Linked DNA regions of Drosophila melanogaster. The protein of the gene in region 3 purifies or fractionates together with the protein of the main gene of each other region. This does not show direct contact. Each region holds a gene or a part of one and is shown on either strand. Other genes may lie near its edges.

Evidence for each region. The genes of interacting proteins can lie anywhere in the genome.
Region 1: the proteins of Snap29 (region 3) and Syx1A purify together in Drosophila melanogaster (affinity purification with mass spectrometry; 3 studies listed by BioGRID, with this or other methods). This does not show direct contact.
Region 2: the proteins of Snap29 (region 3) and Syx17 purify together in Drosophila melanogaster (affinity purification with western blotting; 4 studies listed by BioGRID, with this or other methods). This does not show direct contact.

The regions. Positions count from the first base shown.
Region 1 is NT_033777.3:24,101,093-24,107,468, reverse strand, and holds Syx1A (syntaxin 1A), read left to right. Parts: upstream 1-1,705; 5' UTR 1,706-3,025; coding exon 3,026-3,897; coding exon of another isoform or gene 3,898-3,901; exon of another isoform or gene 3,902-5,422; coding exon 5,423-5,441; coding exon of another isoform or gene 5,442-5,671; 3' UTR 5,672-5,869; downstream 5,870-6,376. Other genes in the region: CG10694 (uncharacterized protein), read right to left, coding at 1-20; eIF4EHP (eukaryotic translation initiation factor 4E homologous protein), read left to right, coding at 185-644, 5,423-5,671.
Region 2 is NT_037436.4:4,401,479-4,405,675, forward strand, and holds Syx17 (syntaxin 17), read left to right. Parts: upstream 1-2,008; 5' UTR 2,009-2,348; coding exon 2,349-2,417; intron 2,418-2,472; coding exon 2,473-2,719; intron 2,720-2,780; coding exon 2,781-3,370; coding exon of another isoform or gene 3,371-3,505; 3' UTR 3,506-3,690; downstream 3,691-4,197. Other genes in the region: slow (slowdown), read left to right, coding at 422-678, 747-1,165, 1,234-1,365; CG15019 (uncharacterized protein), read right to left, coding at 3,883-4,137.
Region 3 is NT_033778.4:23,842,965-23,846,359, forward strand, and holds Snap29 (Synaptosomal-associated protein 29kDa), read right to left. Parts: upstream 1,800-3,395; 5' UTR 1,683-1,799; coding exon 1,415-1,682; intron 1,346-1,414; coding exon 759-1,345; 3' UTR 519-758; downstream 1-518. Other genes in the region: shu (shutdown), read right to left, coding at 1-114, 172-230; CG5554 (uncharacterized protein), read left to right, coding at 2,195-2,367, 2,571-2,732, 2,802-2,976, 3,143-3,395.

The sequences.
Region 1 (6,376 bases), on a different chromosome or scaffold from region 3:
ATGCGTATAGACAGCTTCATCGTTTTTGTTTTGTTAAACTTAATTTGGCTGCGAGAATTTGTGATAGTTATGTGAAAGTGCGGCGGTTGTGTCATTTGGTGAACCAAATGTCAAATTTGATCTACATACAGCCTTTGACATACTAATCAAAATCTATTTTGTGTGTCATGTACTCGCGTTACAGGAAAAACTGGCCAGATATTGTCGACAGCGACGACAGCGATGTGGATAATCAGATAGATGTGGACAACCTGCCACCACTGGAGGTGGGTCCCGGCGAGAACCGGCTGCAGCACACATACTGCCTCTGGTTCTCTCGCAAGGAGACGCAGCGCGCGGCCGCCGACTACAGCAAGTCGCTGCACATGGTCGGCCGGTGCGCCAGCGTGCAGCAGTGGTGGTCGCTCTACTCGCACCTCATCCGGCCCACCGCCCTGAAGCCCTACCGGGAGCTCCTCCTCTTCAAGCAGGGCATCATACCGATGTGGGAGGACCCGGCGAACAGCAAGGGCGGCCAGTGGTTGATACGACTACGCAAGAACAAGGTCGACCGGGCCTGGGAGAACGTTTGTATGGCGATGCTCGGGGAGCAGTTCCTCGTCGGCGACGAGATATGCGGAGTCGTGCTACAGACGAAATATCCGGTGAGTTCCAAAGATCCTATATAATGTCTTATTTGGGGAAACCATGCCAGAATACCTTTCTTAAAAATCGGTATTTTTAGAACCCATAAATATAGCAAACAATAGTAAATATCCTTTACAGGTATATTCTAAACAGATGGCTTAAACTATTTACTTTTCTTACTCGATTAAATCAAATTCGTTAGAAAATTTAATTGTAATAATTTCCTTCCAAGTTTCTATGTGAATTAGCATGTAATTTTCGTAACTTTAAATTTCTAATTGAACGAAGTGAATTTTTAAATATTGCTCCAATAGGACCAGTGTTGGGCAACGTTTCGTAACAGTTCACTACCCTTGGTGTTACTTAATTTTTATATTTATTTATAAATGCCGAGCATATATATTATTGCATTTTGCGGCCTATTCCCCAGTTCCTTTTCAGCTCGCGATTCGCTTTAACAAAAGTGCCGGTCGCGATTCATTCATGAAAATTCTCGCGCATGACGTATCTCAGTGCGAATGGGATCCACAAACAAACCCGTGCTGATTGTTGTTGCTGTTGTGTGGGACTGACGTAATGGAACTTATGTGGCGGCATTTTTAGCACATTTCAATACGCGTTTTGCAAAAGTGAAAAGACGAAAATGCCGGGCAAAAGGGAAAACAGAAACCACTTGCAGTTTGTTTTTTTTTTAACAATCAAACGTATAAGGCTTGCACAATAAAGTCTTGATTACATCAGCAAAATATTATCTTTTCCACGCTTAGCTTTTAAAATGAAGATGAGCAGATATCAATTAAATTATATAAAGAGAAATATCCTGTTCTATAAATAATATAAAATACCAAAATTTATAATATACCAGGAAGAGATTGCAGGAGCTCCAGCTCTTTCTCTTAAGATCCACATCCAAATACATCCACATAATCACTTGATTCGCGAATCATCGAAATTGTGAGAATTGGTTGGTGTCCCCGCTTAGTCCTGTTTTTAGTCTGGTATTTTTAGCTACTCAATGTAGTTATTTAATAGGAAATCATTGCGAACCGGAAGGTATATTCTGGTAGTGACGGCACGGTCACACTCGAAAATTGTTTGCCCGCGCGAGGTGCTGTGTTTCGTTTCGGCTCGCATCGAAATCACACAAAAAAAAACTCTTGGCCGCCGGGAAAATCGCGAAACAATATTTGGTTTTTTGTGAAAAAAATCAAAAAAATATTGTCAACACATTTGCCTCAGATAAATACAAAGAAATGTGCATGTGAAACGATTGGTGACAACAACAAATCGTGGAACCCAGACAACCAGTGTGCGAGAGCGTGATAGGTGGTCGTGCGTCCCTCTCAAACACACACCCTGAATCGGCGCCGACGACGCGTACGCAACAAACGAAAATAAAACGCAAGCGAAAAGGAGAGAGAAAGAACAAATAACGCCCACCGTAACACCCCCCGCGAATAAGAAGAAGCAAAGTAGATAAAGCAGAGAAAGACGAAGAAGCAGCAGCAAAAGCAGACGGCAGAATTGGAGCTTTGCGCAGAAATCGATTTTTTGCCCATTTTAAGAGATTTTCGGTAGCCTCTCCCACTGCCGAAAATCGTTTATTGCCACTGCTGCGTGCGTGTTTGTGTATGTGTGTGCGTGTGCCAGTGCGAAAGTGAAACAAACAAATTCGCCGAGTAAAAGATTAATATTATATGGTACCAGTGTGAGTCACAAATAACAAGAGAGAAAAAAACAGAAAAAAGAAAAATTAATTCAGCAGCAGCTTTAGCTTTTTAGCTGCTGGCATTGAAGAGGTGCTCTGCCGCAGTCGACGTCTCTGCCGCCGCCCGCAACACGAGCTCTCTTTGCCTCTCTCTCCGTCTCTCTTGTGAGCGAAATAACACCACACCAAACGACACACACACGAAAAAAGCATAATAATATTAACCAAAACGCCAGCCAAAGTGCCAGTTAAGTTATAATTATACACTAAAAGTAAACCGAGCAAAGAGAGAGCTGCCAGCCAAAAGCGGAAAATCAATAAAAGGTCTCTCGCAAAAGTGGAAAAACGTGCAAACAAGTTAAAAGCAAGGCTGCAAAAAAAGAAAAAGGAAAAACTCCGCGCGCGTTTACACGTGTGGTTTATGTGTGTGTGCGTGTTTAACGTTTAACTGCTAATCGCAAAAACGCAATCTGCGAAGACCGCGTAACAAAGGCTTACGTAAAGCTTGGCCAAGGGAAAGAGCCAAATAACAACGAAGCATAAAAAACAATATTTAAAAAAATCCAACAAATTTTGAAAACTGCACCGTAAACAAGGATAGTCCCAGAAATTCGAAACTCCCCAATTATCAAATCGAGAATAATCTTCTCGCACACCCTTCAAAAACCAGGATAATACCCCGACACAAAGATGACTAAAGACAGATTAGCCGCTCTCCATGCCGCCCAATCCGATGACGAGGAGGAGACGGAGGTGGCCGTCAATGTGGATGGCCATGATTCCTACATGGACGACTTCTTCGCCCAGGTGGAGGAGATCCGCGGGATGATCGACAAGGTGCAGGATAACGTCGAGGAGGTAAAGAAGAAGCACTCGGCCATCCTGTCCGCCCCACAAACGGACGAGAAGACCAAGCAAGAGCTGGAGGATCTGATGGCCGACATCAAGAAGAATGCCAATCGCGTTCGCGGCAAGCTCAAGGGCATCGAGCAGAACATCGAGCAGGAAGAGCAGCAGAATAAGTCGTCGGCGGATCTGAGAATTCGGAAGACGCAGCACTCGACGTTGTCACGGAAATTCGTCGAAGTGATGACCGAGTACAATCGCACGCAGACCGACTACCGAGAGCGCTGCAAGGGAAGGATACAGCGTCAACTGGAGATTACCGGACGACCGACCAACGACGATGAGCTGGAGAAGATGCTGGAGGAGGGCAACTCGTCTGTGTTCACGCAGGGCATCATCATGGAGACGCAGCAGGCCAAACAGACGCTGGCGGACATTGAGGCCCGCCACCAGGACATCATGAAGCTGGAGACATCGATCAAGGAGCTGCACGACATGTTCATGGACATGGCCATGCTGGTGGAGTCGCAGGGCGAGATGATCGATCGCATTGAGTACCATGTGGAGCACGCTATGGACTATGTGCAGACGGCAACTCAGGACACCAAGAAGGCGCTCAAGTACCAGAGTAAAGCCCGACGAAAGAAGATCATGATACTGATCTGCCTCACTGTGCTGGGCATCTTAGCGGCCTCATATGTTAGCAGTTATTTCATGTAAATCTCGAATGCAATTACTTACACGCCACATTCACTCCACACACACACCTCTCCACACACACACACATTATATATCTCATCCAGACCCGATCTATATACATAGGATGTTGCGCAACCCACCCAGAGAAATTGCAGAAGACAAAATCGAAACTTAAACTGTAAGAGACCGCAACCAGTGAACCCCCGATACAAAAAAAAAAAAGAAATGCACACGAAATTAGGGCTCGATTACACCAATTATAGCTATTATAATATATAGAGAAATCATGTATGGTTAGTAAGCAAGAGTCTCAAGTCCCCAGAGTCTATCCCAAAAACACATGAAACTCAAGTTATAGCTACCAGAATCTTTAGTACTTGTAAACAAATTGCTAATTGAAAATTTATAAAACCAATACGAAGAGAGTTGAAACACAAAAACTACAAGACACGTAATTGCAAACAAAGAAAACATGAAATTTTATTGATTATTGTTATAATGCGAAGCAAAAAAAAAAAACGAGAATTGTAATAAAAAGAAAGGAACAACACTACTCCACTCAAAACACACACAAAACACACTCATTGCAAATGCTTTGCAGGGAAAAGTGAAAGAAAATCTTGTTGATTTCCTCGTCGTTTTTCCGACTTTGAAAATGCATTTAGTTTTTGTTCGTTTAGCTAGTTTAGTTCTCCTGTTGAAAACTCACACAAAAGTAGCCTCATCACTCACACACTCACAACACCGATGAAGAAGAGAAAGATGCAACAAATCTCTAGTTCACTTTTGAATATTTATGATAAAAAGATTGTTTATTATGCGATATAATAACTATATTGACTATTTACTATAATGCTATTTACTTAACATGTTCATATTTATTGAATGCATATGAAATATATAAATTATACAAACACAGCGCATATATATATATACAAATATAAACCTAGATAAATAGCTAACTCGGACATTCTCAATGGAGATGATAATGCGAAACGAAAACATGAGAAGTTGAGGAAGTTGATGATGGAATGCCGATTTTAAAGGGGTAAACAATTCAATCACACTCACATATATAGACAGCTTCAAATTAATCGGCAAACAGTTAAATTTAAAGTTGATTATTCAGTTTTTTTCTTTGTTTTGTTGCGCAAACAATTGAACAAGTTTTTGCGTTTGTTGTTTAATCTACCGGAAAAACTAGTTTCCTTTTGTTGATTTCCGTTTTTTGTAATCGCCAGAAAAGTTAACAGAAATTAATGGATTTCGGTTTCAGCTATGATTTCATTTCTCACACTCACACCGCACCGCACACACACAGTTTGTAATACTTTTTCTTTCTAATTAACCTAATTTATTTTTCCTTTCTTTCCTCCCACCGATCCACATCTGAAAAACTAACAATCGGAATGCAAATTCAAAACTATACTACTCATACATAACATCTGGCATGCGGCTGTAAAATCCAATTTAACAAATAAAATCAAACCAATCAACTCAACTTTTTCTGCACTCACAATGAAAAACGAACAAATCATATAGAATCCAAGCATCCAAGTAGCATGCTCATCAAGGCCTATAATCTGCATTATCTACACACGTTTTGTAGTACAATTCGGAAAATGCAAAATCATTATAGTTACTAATAACAATAAACGCAATGTGTATGAGTTTTTGACAATTATTGTGATTAAGATACACGAAGAAATGCTTTCGCTTCTAAGTAGGAAATGCAAATTTGTTAATGCACCAAACGAACTGGTCACGCGAATTGGTCGATTTCTGTTTTGATCACACGAAATTACCAACTGCAAATGTCAGACCTGCATTACATGCACGTTTATTTCTTATTCAATTCGTTAATTCACCTTTTGATCTTTTGAACGAGCAACGAATAAATGGGAAAATGAAAACCCAAAACTGCAACTACAACAGCAATAGCGCAAATCAGCACGTTTTCACCACAAAAACAAGAGCAACAACAACTGCAAAAAAAAAAAAAAAACACCCAAGTTAACCGAACGCGTTCAGTGAAAAGAAAATCAAAAGAAATATTACTACTTCGTATTATGTCAATCAATCAAACTGCGATTTAATTTTAACCACATAAAAATGCAATCTAAAGGCCCGACAAATTCGAAAAATGATTAAAAATAAACGAAAAACGCGACTCCGCCCTGCCACGCCCTTACGTTCATTGGAAGTTCCAGTCCGGGTTCCAGTGTTCCAGCGCTCCTGACCCGCAGCTTCCAGCGCGAAAAACAGCTGCATTGCTCCATTCCCACACGCTGAGGTGAGTAATACGCTATAATTATTCAACATTTAGCATTCTTTTTATCGGCAATTCCCGCAATTACTCTCTCTACGTTTACGTTTTCCCTCGCGGCGACCATTGAAAAATCGCCGAAGGTCGCGTTTCCATGTCCTTTAAAGTCCCCATCGCCACCCTCCGCCCCTTTTTGAAACACCCACCCGCCCCCTTGAAGTTCCGCCCAT
Region 2 (4,197 bases), on a different chromosome or scaffold from region 3:
GATAGGCTGCCAGGCTGCCAAACTGCCATCTGGCTGCTCCTCCATATCCGAGTCCGAGTGGCGGGCAAACAAATGACATGGCTGACATGGCTGCAAGTCATCGGCTGGGAGCGTGTCGTGTTTGTCATCGCAGATACGCGAACACGCTAATATCGTAGTCCAGTCCAATCGAATCCAATCCAATCCAATCCGCTGGCACTTCCAGACACATGTGACAATTGCCCAGATCCCACTCCTAAAAACAACCTGTTGGCCGCTCTGTGTCGTTATGACTGTAATTGGGCGAAGTCGTCTGGAAAAGTCAGTTTCACTTTTGCAGATGATGAGCCGCTGATTTGGGTCAGCCACACCGCTCGAATCCATTCCAATCCTATTCGATTCACACCTCGCTCTGGTTTGTTTTCCTTGCTACTCATTGCAGGCGGCACATTTGCATGCAACAGCGAACGGTTACGATGCCCGTGAAGCGAACGGAGGTCTACAGTCGTCCCACCTGGAAGCACGTGGCCACGCCCTGCCAGCCGCCCACCTTTAGTGGCCAGAAGTGCACCAGGGTGCAGGTGGTCCACGAGCAGGCCTACAGGGACGTCATCGATCACAAGACCGCCCAGCAGATGACCTACGACTGCTGCACGGGATGGAGCCGGGAAAACCCAAGGTCGGATTCGTGCATGAAACGTGAGTCTTAAACAAAATACATAGATTGCAATGAATTTGGAATATTTTTATCTTCTAATTATTTACAGCTATTTGCTCCGCGCGCTGCCAAAACGGTGGCAATTGTACGGCTCCTAGCACCTGCAGCTGTCCAACTGGTTTCACAGGACGTTTCTGCGAGCAGGATGTGGACGAGTGCCAGACGGAGAAGCCATGCGATCAACAGTGCATCAATACGCATGGATCTTACTTCTGCCGCTGCCGTCAGGGATTCGTTCTCCAGTCGGATCAGCAGAGCTGCAAGAAGGTGTCCACGAATGCGGACGATGCGTTCGAGGCTCGGGATCTGGAGAACGATATCGATGATACGGACGCGGAGGTGGCCACGCGACTCCAGAAGATCGAAAAGTCCTTGGCCAATGAGCGAGTGCACACGAACGAGCTGCAAAAGTCGCTGCAGGCCACCTACAGTGTGGTGGACACACTCAAGAGTCGGCTAAGCACGCTGGTAAGGATTAGAGTTGAACTTCTATATTTGAATATTCATACTTTAACGATTACTTCGTATGCCCTCAGGAAAAGCAGGCTCAGGATGTCAGTCGACTGCAGACGAATCTCTACAAGACAGAGTCCCGGACGAACAAGCTGGAGGGTATGCTGAACCTGCTGCTGAAGTGCCGGAATGGCCCCAATGCCAATTGCCCCTAAACAGAACTGCATTTCCCCACGCTATTATTAAATGTTAGTTAACTTAATTGACCACTCCGTTCATGTGTAGCTAGATGCTCCTGCTTGTAAGCCATTCCCGAATGCGAGTCGAGTGCCTCTGTAGTCTGTAGAATTAGCCCACGGATCGGGCTATTAGTACTTAAGCGAGAACGTGTGTCATAAATGTATCGAGATGTGAAGTTTTAGACGTAAGCGCACCACCGCACTCTGCACCGCTCTTCATGTGGGTGGTGCAGTGATTAGTTTCTGCATGTATCTGTATATAATTTTAATGTATATGAGAAATCACTGCACGAATAAATGCATTTTCTGATTTTAATGGGTCTTTCATGGGATATTTAACAAAGGAAATCTATTTATCTGGAAGTTATCATGAAAAAAAAGGTAAAGTGCTGCAATATTTACTTTTATATATTGGCTACAACTTAACGCGCAACATAAAATTTGGTTATTTTTCCTTTTAAATGCAATAATGGTGAGTCAACAACTATTTTTATGACCTCGGCTGTAAGCTGACCTTTTAGCGGGGATTCCCACCAGCGGAGACAATCGATAACTGTAAGAATAATATCGAGTGTGGGCAAGGCTGCGCAATATTCGCTAGTATCGAACTGATTGCCATCTCTATCACCAATAACAAACAAATAATTGGACTGCACAATAGAATTATTATCAGTATAAATATAGGGGACAAGACCAGCATGATTGGAACCATGCCACCGTAGTTTCATTCACAACAACAAAGCACTACTCACTGGAAACATCCCGAAAAGCAAGCAGTGACGTCACTGGCAAAACAAAGCAAAAACTGCGCAGAAAAACCAGGGAAATCTGTTAAGCAAGGTCCATCGTTAAAAAGGGGCGGGGGGTGTTACAGAAACTGATCCCCCAGATTTCACTTTTACCACAATTAAAACTGATTAAAAATCAAAGCGCTGCGAGTTCAAAGTATTCAGTTCACGATGACGCGCGATGAGAAACTGCCACTTAAACAGGCGGAGGTCTCCATCCAAAGGTTTCAGGATGTGGCGGTAGGTTATTTACTATATCTTCTGAAGAGCGGAACTAATTCCTTAACACTCATAGGTGCCCCACCATCTGAGCCTACTGAAAAACCATCGCAGCAATATAGAAAAAAGCCTGGCGCTCGGCGACTGGCAAAAAATCAAAAAGGAGGAACTCAATGCTATGAGGGTCATTAAGCAGATCAAGAATCTACTTCTGGAAATGGATGCACTGCGAGAAAAAGTACGGGAGGAGGATCTGGAACGTTTCGACGACCTAATGAAACCTGGCAGGGATACTGCCTTCGCTGGCATGAAGGAATTTGCGGGTAAGTTTGAAATGCCATCTAAATTCTTTCGGCTTTACCAACACACCTACTGTATTTTTAGAGCTCCAACTCAAATCACCCACCTCCACTTTGAGTTCTCAGTACGACGACGATCTGGACAATCAGCCACAGGAGGTGGATATGAACAGTCTACCCGCACACCGCCACATGCCCCAGCTGCAACTCAATTTCCAGCTGGAGGAACACCAATTGGCGCAGAGGCAAGCCTGCCTGGATCAGATGGAGAACCTGCAACAGGAGATCTACGATCTGCACGGGATGTTCCAGGGAATGCGTCAACTGACTGCAGAGCAATCAGTGGCGGTGGAAAAGATAGCAGACAATGCGGAGGAAGCTCTGGAGAATGTCCAGCAGGGCGAATTGAATCTGCGCCGGGCGCTCACCTACAAGAAGGCCATGTACCCCGTAGTCGGAGCTCTTCTGGGCACCTGTGTGGGAGGACCCATTGGTCTGGTGGCGGGCATGAAAGCTGGAGGATTGGCGGCAGTAGGATGTGGCATCCTCGGCTTCACCGGTGGCTCTGTGCTAAAGGCCAATCCCAATGTAATGCATGGCAACATCGAGGAGGAGCAGGTGGAACCGGATAGCGAGTCAACTGAGAGACTGGAGCTAAAAGAGAAGCCAGAATGACCCGCAGGAGGAAGTGCCCGATCCGCATCCACGGCTCTGGCCACCACGCACATATGGTCGGCGAACACACGACGTTTGGAGGCAGCCACCAACGGAGTGATTTGCAGCGTGCGCAGCTATTGTTCCGTTCAGTAGAAATTTGACCACGATTTTAGTTCAATATCCCCATTTTGTGATTTTCCACGTGCAATAGAGCTAATGAGCATAATGTAACTGCACTTTAGTTTAAGCGTTGGATACTTGTTGTTCACATGACACCGCAAATGTGTGTAGATTTTAAGGCTTTAATATGCAATAATAACTCGTAGCTTTAAAAAAGTAATGATACTATTTGATTGCCATGTTGAGAAGTTCAGACTATATCTGGGTTTTTCAGAACTTGTTTGGGCTTTAATATGCAATATATACTCTTAGCTATAACATCTTTGTAGAAAAAGCCTACAAAATCTCCTAAACTAAGCGAGGACTTATAAACTACGATAAGATACCAGATGGGTAACCCAGCCCCGGATTTATAGGGGAACATTAACCGTGGTCCAGGCCTGTTTGAAGTTCTTCTTCTGCGAGTGCTGCTTCTTTCTTAGACGCTTGGCGGTCTTCTTCTTCTTGAACCACGCAGGATAATTGCCGTACTGATCTTTGAGGGTCTTGCTGTTGAAAATGTGCTCCACGCCCGTGTTCTCGTTGGTCACCTTGACTTTCTCGCCCTTCTCCAGACTCTCCTGGTGCTCGTAGATCAATTCCTGCTCCTCCTTGGATTTGGCCTCCTGTTTTAGGAATACAATTTCTTCTTTAATAAGGATATAAAATACGTAACAAGAATGAAG
Region 3 (3,395 bases):
ACGTCCAGCGCATCCTCGTAGTCGCTGTCGCTGTCGCTGTCGAGACCCAGATCCCTGGCATGGTTCTGCTGCGAATTGTCGACCTCGAACTCAACGCCCTTTTTCACGAGATCCCTGCAGAATGAGTTGCACGTGGTCATGAGTGCCTTTAATATGTATCTTATTACTCACGAATAGGACAAGGGATTCTTGAGCAACTGTGGGGTGTACGGTTCGAAGTTTTCTTCCATTATCGCAAAATTTACAGAATATTTACGAAACGAATTCCGGAATGCGCTGAGTTGGCGCTATTCTTTTGGATGCGTTTGAGAAAAGAGCTTTCCAGCGATGGTATCAACTGGAATTCGATTGCTTGATAGCTTTAGCGAATCGATTGGTCGCTGTTGTCCGGAAGTTATCGAATTCAAACAAAGAACTATATATCTTTATTAGGGCGCGAGCACTGCAACTCGAGATATCTTCCGAAAATGTATAATGTATTCCAATCCAGACGGGGAAACACTAGGCCAGATATACTTGCTTTTTATATGAATCTTTATTTAAAACTGAACACTTATCGCTCTCCAACTACGAGCACTCCATTGAGAGAATTGTTTTGGTGTGTGTAACAATAAAAAACTAGGAAACATAATGAGGAATGCATTCTTAATGGCCTTGTGAAGTGCTCACCGTGCGATATGGTATGGCTAAGATTTGTATATTAAGGGAGGGCTATTCTAAGCAATGATCAATACAATAGTATGCGAATGCTCGCTTGTTCACTTCTTCAGAAGCTTGCTCATGTCCTTGTTCTGCTTGTGAATCTTCAAGTCGACATCCTCAATTTTGTAGTTCATGTTATCCAGCAATTCATTTTGCGACTCAATTTCGCCACCCAGATCGGTGGCCAGCATCTTCAGCACCGACAGGTTGCTGCACATCTCCTCCAGATTGGAATCGATCTGGGCCTGGAAGGGATTGGCCGCCTGTCGCTGGGGCTGGTAGGTGCTGCTGGGATCACCACGCAGCTGGCTAACCGGATGATTGTCGTAGCGCTCCGCTGGTGATAGCGGAGCCGAGGGGCTAGCACCGCCACAGGCACCCTGGTTAATGTTGCTATTGGCCTCCTGGGAGGACTGACTGCCCGTGGGCGAACCAGTCGCGGTGGGTGGTTGGTCCCTGTTGCCCGAAAGGTAGTTCTTGAGGCCGCCGAAGACACTCTTCAGACCAGTCAGATGGCGCTGGCTGAAGCGCAGCGTGGAGCTGATCTCGTCCAACTGATGTGATGTCTTCTCCAGTTGCTCCCGCTGCTTGGCCAGCTCCACGGCCGTCGCCTTACCCACCTCCTGGGTTTCGTAGAGCAGACCTGGGGGTTGTAGGAGAGAGACGCATCAATAACGCCCCTTAATTGGCTGGCAATTGACCCCATGTTTACCCAAGCTTTTGTTGGTAGAGTCCAGAGTTCGCTGCTCAATGGCCCTTCGCTTCTCAGCATAGGCCAGTCGCTGTGCGGCCACTGATGGCGACGAGGTTATCTCCTCTTCGTCATCGTCATCCATCTCGAAGGGATTGGTGCTCCTCTGCTGCGGAAGCTTGGCTGCTCCCGTCCGTTTGTTCTGCAGGAATAGGTCGTCGTCCACGTCCTCGAATCTGTCCACGTCATCGAAGTGATCGTGCACTGGCTGCAGGTAGTTATGGGCCATTTCTTGTGGCGAGGGAAACTTCCAAAATGTCGAATTTTGTTATGTTTTCGTAAACTTTTATTTTCTTTGTTGTTGTCTGGAGTTATCGATTGCAATAGCGATGGTACAAATGTAGTATTTGTATGCAGTTCAATCGACTTATAAATAGCTTGACATTGCAGAGGCTTCAATAAAATAAGTTATTATAATTAAAATGATTTTGAAGATACGATAAAAATTGAATTTGTATGTAAGAAAACTTGAAGCTTGATCTAATAAATAAAAAATCGTGTAACGAGCGAATACCGACCGAATCCCCCTACCGATGATCTAGCGGGGAATAAAGCGGCTTGCCATCTCCGATGGATATCGAACCAGCACTTCTGTCAATTTTCCAGCAGGCGTCGCAGTTTCTGTAACTTTTTGGAACTGACCAAGACGGAAGCTTTAGTTTAATTTAAGAAACTGTCGCAGCCGAACGTCACAGGTTTCAGGACACGAATCGGCGGAGCAAAGCACCAAAACATCACCACATGCATAGCACATCGTACTTTGTGGCCGCGACATGCGCGGCGCTGCTTCTGCTGGCGGCGACGGCGCAGTCGACGGCAGCAGCGCAGTCAGGACTGCAGCCAGGTGGCAAGTTAATCGAGTTGGACGAGGACAACTGGCACCTGATGCTCCAGGGCGAATGGATGATCGAGTTGTGAGTGCGAAAGGGTGGCTCTGAGTAGTCCCTACCCACATGAAACCCCGCTGCCCCTGACGTAACATAAAGGGGCGTGGTGCGCCGGCTTTCTCCAGCCGGCAAGCTGGTTCTTTCGTTCTCCGAAATACCAGACATTCCTTTGCGGCGACGATGACTCATCGGCAGCTGTGTTAAACATATGTTTCTCCCTCCATTCACAGCTTTGCTCCATGGTGCCCGGCCTGCAAGAACCTGGCTCCCACCTGGGAGCGGTTTGCCCGCGTGGCCAAGGATGTCCAGGTGCAGGTGGCCAAAATCGACGTGACAACCTCGCCCTCGCTGAGTGGACGCTTCTTTGTCACCGCCCTCCCCACCATCTACCAGTGAGCACCACATAGACCTTTTCAACCCATGAAATACACATCGTCGTAATCCACGTCAATCATTTCCAGCGTAAAAGATGGCGAGTTCCGGCAGTATCGTGGGGCCCGTGATGGCGACGCCCTCCTCTACTTCGTGAAGAAGCAGCAGTGGCAGAGCATCGAACCGCTGTCCGCCTGGAAGAAGCCCGACACCACCCACATGTCCGTGCTGTCCTACTTCTTCAAGCTTTCGCACACTCTGAAGGTACGTTCACCTAGCCCATTATCGCATCGGTTCACTGCATGAGACATAAGCGGAAGCTTATCAGCGGGTTGATCCCGTTGACCCACAAAAGATTGCCGCCCATCACTCATTACTCTGGTCTTTGCTCTCTGCTGTTGTCTTGTATGTTGGGTTCATGTACTAATAGCATACGCAAAAACTCTTTAAGGACTTCAACGGGCGCCTGCAGGAGGAATACGGACTGCCCACGTGGGGCTCCTACGCCCTCTTCGCCATCGCCACCATCTTCGTGGGCGCTGCCCTGGGGCTGCTGCTCGTGTGCCTTGTGGACTTTGTCTACCCACCCAAGAAGTCGCAGCGCCAGAGCTTCTCCGAGTCCCAGGACAATCTGACCGAGGGCCTGGAGGATTTGGCAACCGAGGAGATCGAGGATGATGGCG